Linked DNA regions of Oryctolagus cuniculus. The protein of the gene in region 1 interacts with the protein of each later gene in a pairwise test. Links are inferred from orthologs where the notes say so. Each region holds a gene or a part of one and is shown on either strand. Other genes may lie near its edges.

Evidence for each region. The genes of interacting proteins can lie anywhere in the genome.
Region 2: the proteins of KRT40 (region 1) and MXI1 interact in binary tests that used the Homo sapiens proteins (3 or more experiments, as listed by UniProt). The two-hybrid records come from large-scale screens. The link is inferred for Oryctolagus cuniculus from reciprocal best matches to the Homo sapiens genes KRT40 and MXI1.
Region 3: the proteins of KRT40 (region 1) and ZNF202 interact in binary tests that used the Homo sapiens proteins (3 or more experiments, as listed by UniProt). The two-hybrid records come from large-scale screens. The link is inferred for Oryctolagus cuniculus from reciprocal best matches to the Homo sapiens genes KRT40 and ZNF202.

What each region holds. Positions count from the first base shown.
Region 1 is NC_091448.1:21,611,418-21,615,280, forward strand, and holds the end of KRT40 (keratin, type I cytoskeletal 40), read left to right. Parts: intron 1-47; coding exon 48-209; intron 210-287; coding exon 288-413; intron 414-1,547; coding exon 1,548-1,768; intron 1,769-2,247; coding exon 2,248-2,347; 3' UTR 2,348-2,790; downstream 2,791-3,863. UniProt on the Homo sapiens protein: May play a role in late hair differentiation.
Region 2 is NC_091446.1:19,962,906-19,967,688, reverse strand, and holds part of MXI1 (max-interacting protein 1), read left to right. Parts: intron 1-2,120; coding exon 2,121-2,235; intron 2,236-2,796; coding exon 2,797-2,968; intron 2,969-4,783. UniProt on the Homo sapiens protein: Transcriptional repressor. MXI1 binds with MAX to form a sequence-specific DNA-binding protein complex which recognizes the core sequence 5'-CAC[GA]TG-3'. MXI1 thus antagonizes MYC transcriptional activity by competing for MAX.
Region 3 is NC_091432.1:116,113,974-116,118,756, reverse strand, and holds part of ZNF202 (zinc finger protein 202), read left to right. Parts: exon of another isoform or gene 1-1,942; intron 1,943-1,953; exon of another isoform or gene 1,954-2,693; intron 2,694-2,950; 5' UTR 2,951-3,047; coding exon 3,048-3,449; intron 3,450-4,051; coding exon 4,052-4,259; intron 4,260-4,636; coding exon 4,637-4,725; intron 4,726-4,783. UniProt on the Homo sapiens protein: Transcriptional repressor that binds to elements found predominantly in genes that participate in lipid metabolism.

The DNA.
Region 1 (3,863 bases):
TTTGCCCTACTGCTCTGTGACATTCTTCACTCCCTTCCCACTTTCAGGAGGTCAACTTGCTCCGTGGCCAGCTCGGTGACCGACTCAGTGTGGAGCTGGACACCGCCCCCACCATCGACCTCAACGAGGTCCTGGATGAGATGCGCTGTCAGTATGAGACGTTGCTCGCCAACAACCGCAGAGACGTGGAGGAGTGGTTCGCTGCTCAGGTCAGGCCCGAAGCAACATGGGAGCAGGACTCCCCGCATGTGCCTCGGCAGGGTTCTCTAACCATGCCTGTGTTTCAGACAGAGGAGCTGAATCAGCAGCAGCTGTCCAGTGCAGAGCAGCTGCAGGGCTGCCAGACGGAGATGCTGGAGCTGAAACGCACAGCCAACACGCTGGAAATTGAACTTCAGGCACAGCAAAGCCTGGTGCGTATGGCAAAGAAGGTGTCCGCCTTGTCACTGATAAATCGGGCTCTGACAAACACCCTTTCCCACAACCCAAGGCAGAGATCCCCAGTTCGTGTGGCAGGTCTGGATTTCCAAGTTGCAAGGATTCCGCTTCCTTGCCTTTCCAACCACCATGCTTACCCAGCTAGAGGCAGAAGTGACAGGTCAACAGCTTGCACCGGCCCACCAGGGTGTTCTAACCTTCCCCGCAGGCCTGAGTGCGATCCTGCGGCACCCCCCAGAGACAGGCAGGAGTGGAGAGGCCACAGCAGCATAGCACGTAGGCAGTCCAGAGGATTTTAAGTCTCTTTTGATCAGGCCAATATGCCAAGATCACCATTATACTAAAACAAAGACTTTAAACTTTTCACCCTACAATGATCATAACACTTCTCAGGATCCACACTTCACCCTGATCCTTCACTGCACGCCACCCAGCCCACGCAGGCAGCAAGGCTACCACGCAGGCAAGATTACACTAGCCAGTTCCAGTCCAGCACTGCAGTGTGGACTGTGTGGGGTCCTGCAGAATTTCTAGATGAAGAATAGCTGAGCACTCTTCTTGTGAGAGGCATCATGCTAATTCAAGCCTGACCATAACTTTATGGGATAGAAACCTTTATTAACCCCATAACAATGACAAGGAAAACTGATATTCAAATTAAGAAATCTGCAGAAGGTCATGCAGAAGTGGAAGCTGAATCCAAGTGGTTCAACCCGGAGCTCCTCCTGTAAACCACACTATCCCACTCCTCCTACCAGGACCCCAAATTCAGAGTTCTTCTCAAATGCTACGGATACTCCGTAAGATACACAAACACCCCATCGGTTGCAGTAATCACAGGTGCAATAGCTAACGTTTCCACAGCCCTTAAAATTCTTCCAGACACTTCTCCGAGCACTGGCATATATCAACTTGGTTGATCCTTACAGCCTTCCCATGAGATAGGGACTTTGCATTCTCCATTCTACAGAGAACAAAACTGAGGTTCAGAGAACCTAAGGAACTTTCCCGAGGTCACATAGCTGGAAAAGGGTAGAGCAAGAATTTGAACACAAGTTGTCTGGCCCCAGAGACTGTGCTAGTCTTTGGACAATGTCTTCCTCCTGCAGATAGAATCCCTGGAATGCACTGTGGCAGAAACCGAGGCCCAGTACGGCACCCAGCTGGCCCAGATGCAATGCCTGATTGATAATGTGGAGAACCAGCTGGCTGAGATCCGCTGCGACCTGGAGCGGCAGAACCAGGAGTACCAGGTGCTGCTGGACACCAAGGCCCGGCTGGAGTCAGAGATCAGCACGTACCGGGGCCTGCTGGACAGTGAGGACTGCAGGTGAGTTCCCCAGTGACTCGTGGAATCCCCCAGTCAAAGTGGCTGATGTGAAGAATCCTGTTTCCCCCGTAGGGCCAAGGTCAAACCTCCCCAGTGCATCGAGGGATCTTTTTGAAAGACTGATGAAAACCTAGCTGAGGCTAAGCACACACCAATAGAAAAGTCCTAGCATATTCTGAAGCCCCAGAGCAGAACAAGGACCAAGCTGGGGGCTTCTTCACGCACCTCTTTTCCACTAATCAGGAACACGCCTAAGACAGTATACTACAAAATGAAGAAAACACCCCCAACATATTATTCAGCAGCCACTGCTGCAGGGAGCACCATGTAACACTCTGGGTCCACAGCTGAAACAGGCTTCCCTGCAAGGCTGTTTGACAAGGAGTTTTCTCCAGAATGCAATGTGTAGGGTGAACTTGAACTTGGACATGTTATCAAGATTCCCTGGTTCAGCTTGGATCCACCTTAATTTTCCCCAGGCTTTCCTGTAATCCCTGTTCTACAGCGTGCACATCAAACAGCACTTGTGAGCCATGCTCAGCCTACGTTCTCTGCACAATTGAAAACTGCCACTTGTGATCCTTAAACACTCAGCATGTCAGCAGGCCAGGAGACGGGCTTCAATGACGGACGTCAAAACCAGAAACGCAACTCTGGAGGGCTTGTAGAGCTTCAATTGTCCTCCAAGTATCCTTAGATATTTCTGCTTTATCATTTTCTCTCCTTTCAGCTCATTTTGGTATTCTAGGAGCCAGTAGAGCTTTCTTGCAAATCTCCAAATACAATGTGTTTCATTGCTTTAGCATGGTAAATACAGCTCTGTGACTTCTTGTTCTTAATATAAAAGCCGCCTGATGGCAAAGCAGTTGTTTAAACCCATGACCATAGTTTGAATTTGCAAATATTCTCTAACTCCTCAAATACAAATACATTAAATCCATGCAAAATGTCACCTACCATGGAAGATACTTGTATGCATCTTTTTGAGAGAAAACTTATAAATAAAGTATAATAAACTGGGAAAGGCATTCGGTGCAATTGTTACAACTCTACTTGTGACACCCACATCACATATCCAAGTGTCTGGGTCCAAGTTCCAGGTCTGACACTAATTCCGGTTTCCTACTAAAGTGCACACTGGGAGGCAGCAGTGGGTATTCAAGTGTTTGGTCTCTGTTGTCGCTATGGGAAACTGGATTGAGTTCCCAGCTCCCAGCACTTGGGGAATGAGCCAGCAAATGACATACCTGCTCATTCACTGTCTGTCTCTCTCTCTTAAATATTTATATTATTTATTTGAAAGACAGAATTGCAGAGAGACGTAGAGACCAAGAGTGAAAGAGAGGTCTTCCCTCCACTGGTTCACGCCCCAAATGGTTGCAATGGCCAAAGCTGGGCTGATTGGAAGCCAGGAGCCAGGAGCTTCTTCCAGGTCTCTCTTGTGGGTGCAGGGGCCCAGGGACTTGGGCATCCTCCTGTTTTCCTAGGCACATCAGCAGGGAATTGGATTGGAAGTAGAGCAGCCAGGACTTGAACCAGTACCCATATGGGACACTGGCACTACAGGCCAGGGCTTTCAACCCAGTGCACCACAGCACTGCTCCCTGGCCCTCTTTTTCTCAAATATTTTAAACATTAAAAAACATAATACAACATGTTTTATTTTTATTAGGAAAGTACTAAGTTAACTTTTTAAAACATTAACACATTAAAGGGAGAAAATTCTTGCATAATTTCCTCCCATCCCCCACCCAGCAATCATTGTTAGCCTTTTTAAAACAGGTTTTTCCACCTAGATACAATCACATTTGCAGATAAACAGTTGTGTAATCTTTCCCTTTTTCACTATGTCATCTAAGCATTTTCAGTCCTAATAAATAACATGATTATCTCATGACCATCATTTTAGTGGTTGCATAATATACCACAGGCACATGGAGCTGTCACTGGACATTTAGGTAATAAGAATAATTAGTCTCACCTTTAAAAAGCAAAGTAAAGAATTTCACCTTCCAAAAAAATATTAACTGGGTGCACAGTTCCTTATTCTTCCTCCTCTGTATAGCTAAAAATCCTGGAAGTTACATATAAAACA
Region 2 (4,783 bases), on another chromosome or scaffold:
AAATTCAATATTCTTCAAATCGAAAGTCAGATTTCAGCCTCTCTCACAAGCCTGCCTCCTCCCCTTCCAGTCTGCATTTATTCAGAGTGTGTTGCCCTTGATACGTGTCAGATTCATTTCAGTACGGACCAAGTGAAACAAAATAGTGTTTCATCTGTAGCCTAGACTGTAAACTCACAAAAATCCATTTCTTTACTTTTCCTGCTCCAGCAAGTGTCTGGAACAGTGCTGAGTACACAAGTCATATAATTAATATACTACTAAATGATTTTTAAAAGAGAAGAAAAAGAGTTTAATTTTCAGCCTAGGTTTTAGTAAATCTCACAAAAGAGGGAATTAACCCAACTTTTTCTTCCTTACCCTGAAGCTAGTAAGGAATCATTTTAAAGTTCTTAGATTAAAATGTGAAAGATAATTCCTAAATATATTGTTTCTGCAGTTAAGTAACCCAAATTTCAGAAGCTGTTCTTTGTACTAAGATACTTTTTTTCTAATTTTCCTAGTTGCTTTATTAACTTTTAGAAGATAGTGACTTTAAAATTAGTAAATAATATTAAAGGCAATCCATTGGTGCACCTTTAGTTTTAGGAAAATAAGAACATTCCTTTATCCACACCAGGTATGTCAGATTTCAGCCTGGAGACAATTAATAGACTTGAAGTATTGAATTCAGTAAAGATATCTGAAATGGGAATAATAATACCTTTAACAATAGCTGGCCTAGTGGGTGCTAAGAGTCTTGGTAATTTGTCCTTGCTTGTGACATAATTGATTGCTTATCATCATTTCCTTCCACTCTGTGAAATTGGTAGTATTTGGGAATTCCACTTGACATTATTTCCTAAGACAAAGCAGTTTAGTGGATCAGTTTGTAAAACCATTTTGGTTTGCTTTGAGAAGCAAATGGAGGGTATGCTTTGTTTCTAATACAGTCGACAGAGTTGCTGTAAGTTCAGTTACAGCTCTTTAAGAAGTATATGAACTTACTTTCTTGTTCAGATATGCTGTTAAATGCTGGATTACATTATGACTTACAAAACACGGGACCAAAGATGTGGACTAGTACGAGGTATTTTAAGAAAGCTCATAAAAAATCCATAAATATATGGTCCAAAAATAAAAAATGTTTTGCACTTAACCATCTTTTAATTCTAATTTTCCATGAACTTTCTGAAGTACCTTCATATTGTTTCAAGATGAAGAAGATGTGCTCAGAACTCACTGTCCTCCCCACGATCTTAGTTCTTTTTAGAGCACAGGAGAGGTAAATGCATGAGGCTGTCTGCTAACAGTCCATGAGAAATTCCTCCCAACTTCACCACAAGATAGTGGGCAAAAGAATATGATGACTTTCAGTAAAGAATTTTATCCCTTGTTTTCCTTGTGGAGAAAATTGGAAGTATGTAGTGAGAGGAAGAAAGAAAATTAAAAATTAAGGTAATAATGTCGGTATACTTAGCTAAGAAGGGGATAGTATTCTGGGCTGTCTGAGTGGCTAGAATTGTAGACGAGGCTGCATATTTTGTCAGATTGGTTACAGAATGTTGCTGTTTTTGTTGTGCTGGATCTTATGAAATTGGCATTTTTATAGATGAGAAATGATTGAATATGAAATTTCATGTAGCTTAACTTCATACACACACAACGACAGGAAACATTATTAAGATGGCTGTTAATTGTGGGGATGTATGTGTGCAAGTAAAGAGTAGGAAGAAGGAAATGCAAACTTGGGAACATTTTTTTAACTCTTTAGAGTGCCACAACTGAAAAGCCCTGTGCTACCCTGTGGTTATCGGCTTTCTAAATCAAACAGTTAGCTTAGTATATTTTCACACTTCCATATTAATAAAGTTGAGACAGTTTATGGGATAGACTAAAAAATAAACCATCAGTAACAGATTACCACTGGGGACAGTAATGTGAAGTGGAACAGAGTACAACAGAAGTAGCACAATCTGAAATGCAGGCACCCCTGTACACACTTTGAAACTGAAGAATTAGGGTTCTAAAATGGGTATAGGCTGAATAACTGCAAAGTACTGTTTGTCTTAGAATAAGACTTTATCATGTTTCTACTGGAATACCCAGACTGTGCTAATTTGACTATTTCTTTGTCTTAGGCGAGCTCATCTGCGCCTATGTTTAGAACGCTTAAAAGTTCTGATTCCTCTAGGACCAGACTGCACCAGGCATACAACACTTGGTTTGCTCAACAAAGCCAAAGCACACATCAAGGTGAGAATTTTTACTTTCAGATTTGTACATGATTCTCTGAGTCCTGCTTAAATTATTAGGAATGATTCCTACTCATACATATCAGCTAACTTACCGTGCCCTCCTTAAGTATCTCAAGAGAAATCTTTTTAAAAACTTACCAGCTAATCTGATGGGAGCAACATAACCTGATTAAGCTAAATTATTTTGACAGCGTAGCCGTCTGAAGAGCTGGGAATGCTAGGAAAGTAACAGTTACTTTCTTGATGCCCAGAAGGACAGCAGTTGTGCCCTCTGGTGGAGAGGACTTCATTTGGTTAAGTTCCCTCAGTATTTTTCCATCAGATACCACCACACTCAGATTACTGTAGAATCCTCAGTGCAGATGGCTTTTCAGAAGTCCTTATTGTTCAAGAAATGTGGTGTTCATACACAAAAAAGGAGAGAACTATGTTGATGCTTAAAAAATAGGCATTTATGTATGATTCATTTGTTTTCTCTGCCAGAAAATTTTCAGATGTTAGGTAGAAATCTGTTTGTATTGGACTGCACACAAACGTAAATAGCATTTTATCATTTTAGAAACTTGAAGAAGCTGAAAGGAAGAGCCAGCACCAACTCGAGAACTTGGAGCGAGAACAGAGATTTCTGAAGCGGAGACTGGAACAGCTGCAGGGCCCCCAGGAGATGGAACGGATACGAATGGACAGCATTGGATCAACTATTTCTTCAGATCGTTCTGACTCAGAGCGAGGTAGGCAGTGCACCTCTTTCTCTACTGAGATACTGAGCGTCTGGATTTGTGGAGGGCAGGTGGGGAAGTACTGATGGCTTTCTTTTTAGCCAGTCGTGTAACATTCTAGGTTTTATGCAACCACAACATTATCTAGCAGTTTCTGTGGGACCTATAGAATTTTTGTTTATTTTTATATATACTTTGTATTTTGAAATATTTTTATTTTTTAAAGATTTATTTATTAGATTTATTTATTTGAAAGGCAGAGCAATAGAGAGAGATCTTTCATCCGCTGGTTCACTTCCCCAGATGGCTACAACAGCCAGGTTTAGGCCAGCTTGAAGCCAGGAACTCCATTATGGTCACATGTGGCAGGGTCCCAAGTATTTACGCTATCTTCAGGTGCCTTCCCAGGTCCATTAGCAAAAAGCTGGATGGGATGCAGAGTAAATAGGGCTTAAGCCGGTGCCGCGGCTCAATAGGCTAATCCTCCACCTAGCGGCACTGGCACACTGGGTTCTAGTCCCGGTCGGGGCGCCGGATTCTGTCCCGGTTGCCCCTCTTCCAGGCCAGCTCTCTGCTGTGGCCAGGGAGTACAGTGGAGGATGGCCCAAGTGCTTGGGCCCTGCACCCCATGGGAGACCAGGAGAAGCACCTGGCTCCTGCCTTCAGATCAGCGCTGTGTGCCAGCCGCGGCGGCCATTGGAGGGTGAACCAACGGCAAAAGGAGGACTTTTCTCTCTGTCTCTCTCTCTCTCACTGTCCACTCTGCCTGTCAAAAAAAAAAGGGGGGGGGGGGGGCTTGAACCAGCATTTGGAGCCATTATGCCATCCCCTTGAAATAATTTTAAATTTATAAAAAGTTTTCAGAGTTCTCATATGCTCTTCACCTAGCTTCCTCTAATGCTTGAGTAACCATAATAGTTATCAAATTAACCATAACAGCAGACCTCACTGAAATTTTACTAATTTTCTCACTAATGTCCATTATCTGCTCCAGGGTCCTATGTTAGACCTTGCTTGCATTGCATTTGGTGGTTCCTTGGTCTTTTTCTTTTCATTAACACTTTTGAAGAATTCTAGGCAATTATATATATATATATGAATATATATATATATATATGATTTTATATACAAAATACAGTGTTCCTTAATTTGAGTCTGATGCTTTTAGGTAATGAGATTAAAGATAGGTGATGCATTTTTGGGCAAGAGATATCACAGAAGTGAGTTAGCTATGTATATTTTGAAGTACTACTACCCTTTATTTCTTTTCTCATCTATCCTACAACAAGTATCTTTGGCAAAATTAAAGAACAAAAGCCAATCAAAAAAAAAAAAGAAATGGTCTTTTACTGACCTGTTCATCTATAGCTGTTACCAGTGTCAGGGCTCATACCACAATAAAAGATTCCAGCAATGAACACTGATGACTTTAAGCCTTACATTTGGGAAACTGGAGTTCATGAGACCTGGAGGATTATTATATATTGGACAAGTGACACTCGTTTTTAAGCCTGAATTTTAGTTTTTGTTTTGAATTTTATAATGGAAATTTCCAAACATACTTAAAAGTAAAGAAAATAGAACAGTGAGCTCCCATGTATCCATCATCAGTTTGAACAGCCGCCCACGTTCTGTCATTTATTCTCTACCACTCTCACCCTTAATATTTTTTCTGGAATGTTTTAAATAAATCCCATACTTCAGTACATATACTTCAGTACATATCTTGAATAAATATGGAAGACTTCAAAAAGTTTGTGAAAAATGCATATTATGAAAAAACTAGGCATGAATTCCAAAATTTTTTTGCCCCGGAATAAACTTGTC
Region 3 (4,783 bases), on another chromosome or scaffold:
TTTATCCAGCACACAGATTGCTGGACAAATGAATGAATAAATAATACAACATGGCATCTGTCCTTCCAGAGACAGACTTAAACAGAAAGCGTGCTTAGCATTCAGTAGTTCACCTTTTGGGGGCCAGACTCTGATCTGGCTGCAGCACATGCTGCCCTCAGCACCTCTCAGTCCAATGAGTTTAACTGCAAAAGGAACAACTTTGATGACCAAGTATGCATACATTGCATGCTGTGGTATGGTGGGGAGCAAGTTCCTGGGGAGCATAATCTCCAGTGATTGGAGAGGGCACTACAGGAAAACGAACTGAAAGATGAGTGGAGGTAGCCAAAGGGAGAGGCTGAGTGAGCTGTGTCAGGAAGGCCCGGTGAGGGCATGGCAGAGACACTGAATAGTCATTCCAGCTGTGGCCTTCAGTGGGGGTGGCGGTCAAGGAGAAAGGAGGTCATCAGGCCAGGTCTAGAAGGGCCTTGAGCATCAAGTTGCAAAGAGTTTCAGTTCTATCCTAAGGACACGACAAAGCCATTGGCAGGTTTTGTGTGTTTAGAAAGCTCACTGCTTTTACTTCACCATATCTCAGTGGAGCTAATGTGGGTGAGCTTCCTGCCTATGTAGTCTCTCCCAAAAACTAAAGATAAATGTGTCGCTTTCAGAGGCAGACATAAAAGCTAGAGAAATAAGTACAAGTTGATTCCACCATGGGCTTAGGGGATGTTATTACCAAGAAAAGTTTTCTAGGCTTCTAATACCTGTGCTGCGACCAGGAAATAGGACTACGATATTAGGAGGTATGGAGGCTGTAGAATTGAGCATTTCAGAGCTACTTCTCCATGAAAATCTGTCTGCTGGCCCGAAAAGTGCAAGGAAGTTAGATCTCCATAAGTTTGACTAGGACCAAAATCACTTGAGGACAGAGGTCAAACAGTACATTAAGTGCATGATTCAGGAATACCCTGATAAATTTAACCTAAAGACTTATCCAGGGTCAATGAAACTTAGCATTTTAGTAAAAGCAAATCAAATTCCATTCAAGGGCTCACTTTTACAATTTGATGCTTTCAGAAAGATAAAACAGAGCATGTTTCCCTGTAAAACATGGGAGTGAAGAAGAGAGAACGTGTTAGGAATAAACAGGAACAGGAGGAGTTGGAGAATGTTCTATTTAGAGGGAGCAGGCTTCAAGAAAGCATGGAGGCCTGAAAGGGCACCCTGTTGTAGGTGGATCAGTGCGTTCAGTATAGATAGGTGATAAAGAAGAGTACAATGTAGGCTTGGAAAACAGATTGGGGTTGACTATCCTGTGCCCAGGATTTCAAAACTAATCTTACTAAGAACTTACTATTTTAAATATGAGCAATGTAGTTAGACCTATAACTTAGATATGATTAATAGTAGAGTATCATTAGTCTTCTAGACATTTAGTACTCCATTTGATACTTAACTGTACCCTATTGGATGATTGCCACAATTATCTCTGTTTGGTAAATGGAGAGCCAGCATAAAGAGAATAAGAACTTGACCATAGTTCCAACTTTGTCCCAGTAGACAAAGTACAGTAGAGCCAGGATCCAAACCATAGCTGTCTGATTCCAGGGCCCTGGCTCTTAACCTTACACACCTTCCTCAGTGTTTCTCAACCATGGATGCACAGTAGAACTACATATGGCATTGCTTAATTACAGTTGTCTAGGTTGAATCAGAATGTCCAAAAGAGTGATGTGTGATACTGTACCCTTTTGCAAAAACTCCTCCTGTAACTCTTTTGCATTGTGCTTGTAACTGCCTACTGTAGGGACCCCAGTAAGGAGATGATGGCAGTGGTCCCAAAGAGAAATGATGAGGGCCCAGAATAAAGCTGTCTGCCGGAAGGGAAGAGGAAGAAACACAGAGGCTTAAGTGATAGAGTTGGTTTAATGAGCGTTAAGCACCGAGGAAGAATCAGGTGAATCCAACGCTTACTACAAAGTCGATTGTTAGTAACAATGATCTCAGCCAAGACATGATTCCAGAAACAAGTAGGTTTGGGAGTAGGAATAATGAATTTAGTTTTGAACACTTGAGCTTGAGGGGCCATGCGTCAGCCGATTGAAGATGTCTTAACAAGAAAGGTTGGTTTTTAGGGTTTCTGTGTGCCAACCACTATGTAAGCCCTCACTGTTACAGAGCCCTCCCCTCAAATCTCTTGAGTCCCCATTTTTTATCAGTTAATCCTGACTGAGTCAGAACACAGTGCACCTCCATAAAGCCTTCCACATCTATTGCAGCCCTGCCACTGTTTCCCAGGATGTATGAAGATTCTTCAAAAGGTTCATGGAAAAATGGAATTGAAAGTTTATTTTGGTGCAAAAATATTGTAAAATCCATACATTTTTGCATAATGTACATTTTTTCATGAGCTGCTTGAAGGTCCCTTTTGTGCACGAATTTCAAAACTTTTTGCACCCAAATAAACTTATCTTTTAATCTCATTTTTCATGAACCTTTTGAAGTACCCTAGTACATGCTAGTTCATATGTAAATAGGCATATACATACAACAAACGCTGTGGTCAGTCCTAGTAGGTGATTGATTGTAAGAGTGCTTACTCCTAGCCATTGGAATACTGCAGGAACCCCAGTTGGAGATCACAGCAAGGGTACAGACTAAAGCAGCTGGCAGGAAGGAAGAAGAGAAAACAGATTTGGAGGCAGAAGGTAAAATCGGTAGTATCCATGAAATAGAAATAGAAATGCAGTATTTTCCTTTGGGCTATGAATGTGGCTTAGGAAAGGGAGTAGAGGACCAGTCTCCAGTCATGCATAATCTCCTGTCCTCACTAGAGCACAACACAAGGTATGGAGACCAGGGGGAAGGGGACATAATCAGGTGAAGAATTATGTGTAGGGGCCTGTCCTGAACTTGTGTATCATTTCACACTTACGTGACCCTTTGTCTTTATTTCTTCATCCAGGTCCCTTGGGAGAAACTCCTCGAGGTGTCCAGGCTGAGAGTTGGGGGCAATGCCAGTGTGAGCTCTAGATGGTGTGAGACCGCCCCAGAGCCAGGAAATGGCCACAGCCTTGGAGCCAGAGGACCAAGGGCTTTGGGAAGAAGAGGGCATTTTCACGGTGAAACTGGAAGATGATTTCCCCTGTCGGCCAGAGTCTGTCTTGCAAAGGGACGACCCTGTGCTGGAGACATCTCACCAGAACTTCCGCCGCTTCCGCTATCAGGAAGCAGCGAGCCCTCGGGAAGCTCTCATCAGACTCCGAGAACTTTGTCATCAGTGGCTGAGGCCAGAGAGGCGGACGAAGGAGCAGATCCTGGAGCTGCTCGTGCTGGAGCAGTTCCTTACCGTCCTGCCTGGAGAACTGCAGAGCTGGGTGCGGGGCCAACGGCCAGAAAGCGGCGAGGAGGCGGTGACGCTGGTGGAGGGTTTGCAGAAACAGCCCAGGAGACCAAGGCGGTGGGTGAGGAGGGGGAGTCCTGATCTGTGTGATGTGGAGGGGGACTCCCTTCTGGAAGGCTGGGTGGGCAGGGAGAGCTCACAGGGCCTCTGTCGATTATCCTTCAACATCTAACTGACTCTGCCTCGGGCTTGGCAGGGGGACGTGTGTGTATGAGTGTGACCTTCTGGGTTTGAAACACCTGTCCAAGGGAGCATCTGGGGGGACTCAGCCACTCCAGAGTCCTGGCCTTGGTTTTCCCTCTGGATGCTGAGCTTTCAGTTCCGAGGGAGGAGAATTTGGCGACTTCTTCAAAAGTTCCTTTCAACACCCAGTCCCAGCTTCCCTTCCAGGGTGGTCAGCCATAGCAGCGGACAGCAAGGGGCACTGTAGGTGGGGTAGTAGAGGTGGGTAGGATGGGAGCCCCAGAGCCCCGGGTGCTGGGAACAGGGTGAGTGTCTTCTGCCTGGTCCTGGGGAGGAAACCCTTCAGCTCCCCTTCCCAGGCCTCCTCACCCTGCTCCTGGGGGAGCTTTCCCCAAGGAAGCTTCTCCCCAGATAAGCCAGGATAACAACCAAGAATTTTCTTCTGACTCCACGGTGACGGGAAGTTGGAATTATTCCCAGGTGACCGTCCATGTTCACGGCCAGGAAGTTCTATCAGAGGAGACAGTGCATCCAGGGACAGAGGCCGGGTCCCCCAGTGAGCTGCAGGATCCTGCGCAGACCTCGACCCCTGAGCAGTCCCAGGAGGAAACCACACCAAGCCCAGATCTGGAGGCAGTGGAGGAACAGAGCCCGTGTCGTGAAGAGGAGCTGCAGCCTCCTGAGACAGGTGGGAAACCTCAGCAGGAAGAGGGATTGTGGCTGAGTGCGCCCGGCGTTTCACCTCTACCAAGGAGAAAGGGTAGATTGCCACAGGGGGAAGAAATGACAGAATCCAGGATGTTGACGAGACAGTTCCAACCAGAGTCCCCTGTAAACAGGGCCAAGCCTCGCTACATTCTTGGATCTCTTGTCATTCTGGTCTTCCTGGAGCTGGAGCTGCAAAACTTGAGCTGCCGATGGAACAGTTTCTTGGTGCCCATAGCAGGGAGGTTAGGGCTACATTCCTGATGAGGATGATGAACAATGCTCAGTTCTTGCCAGTTACTAGGATACGATGTTGCTAATCTCAACATACACACACAGCTGTTTTTTGTTTTTTCTTAGAAGTTCCCGTGCCCCAGGACCCAGAACTGCCTGCAGAGAGGAGCTCCAGAGACCCCGAGATGGTTGCCCTTCTCACTGCTCTGTCCCAGGTGTGCCCTGGTTCTCTGTCACAGGGGGCTGTTTGAAGAACTGGTGGGTGTTGGCAGT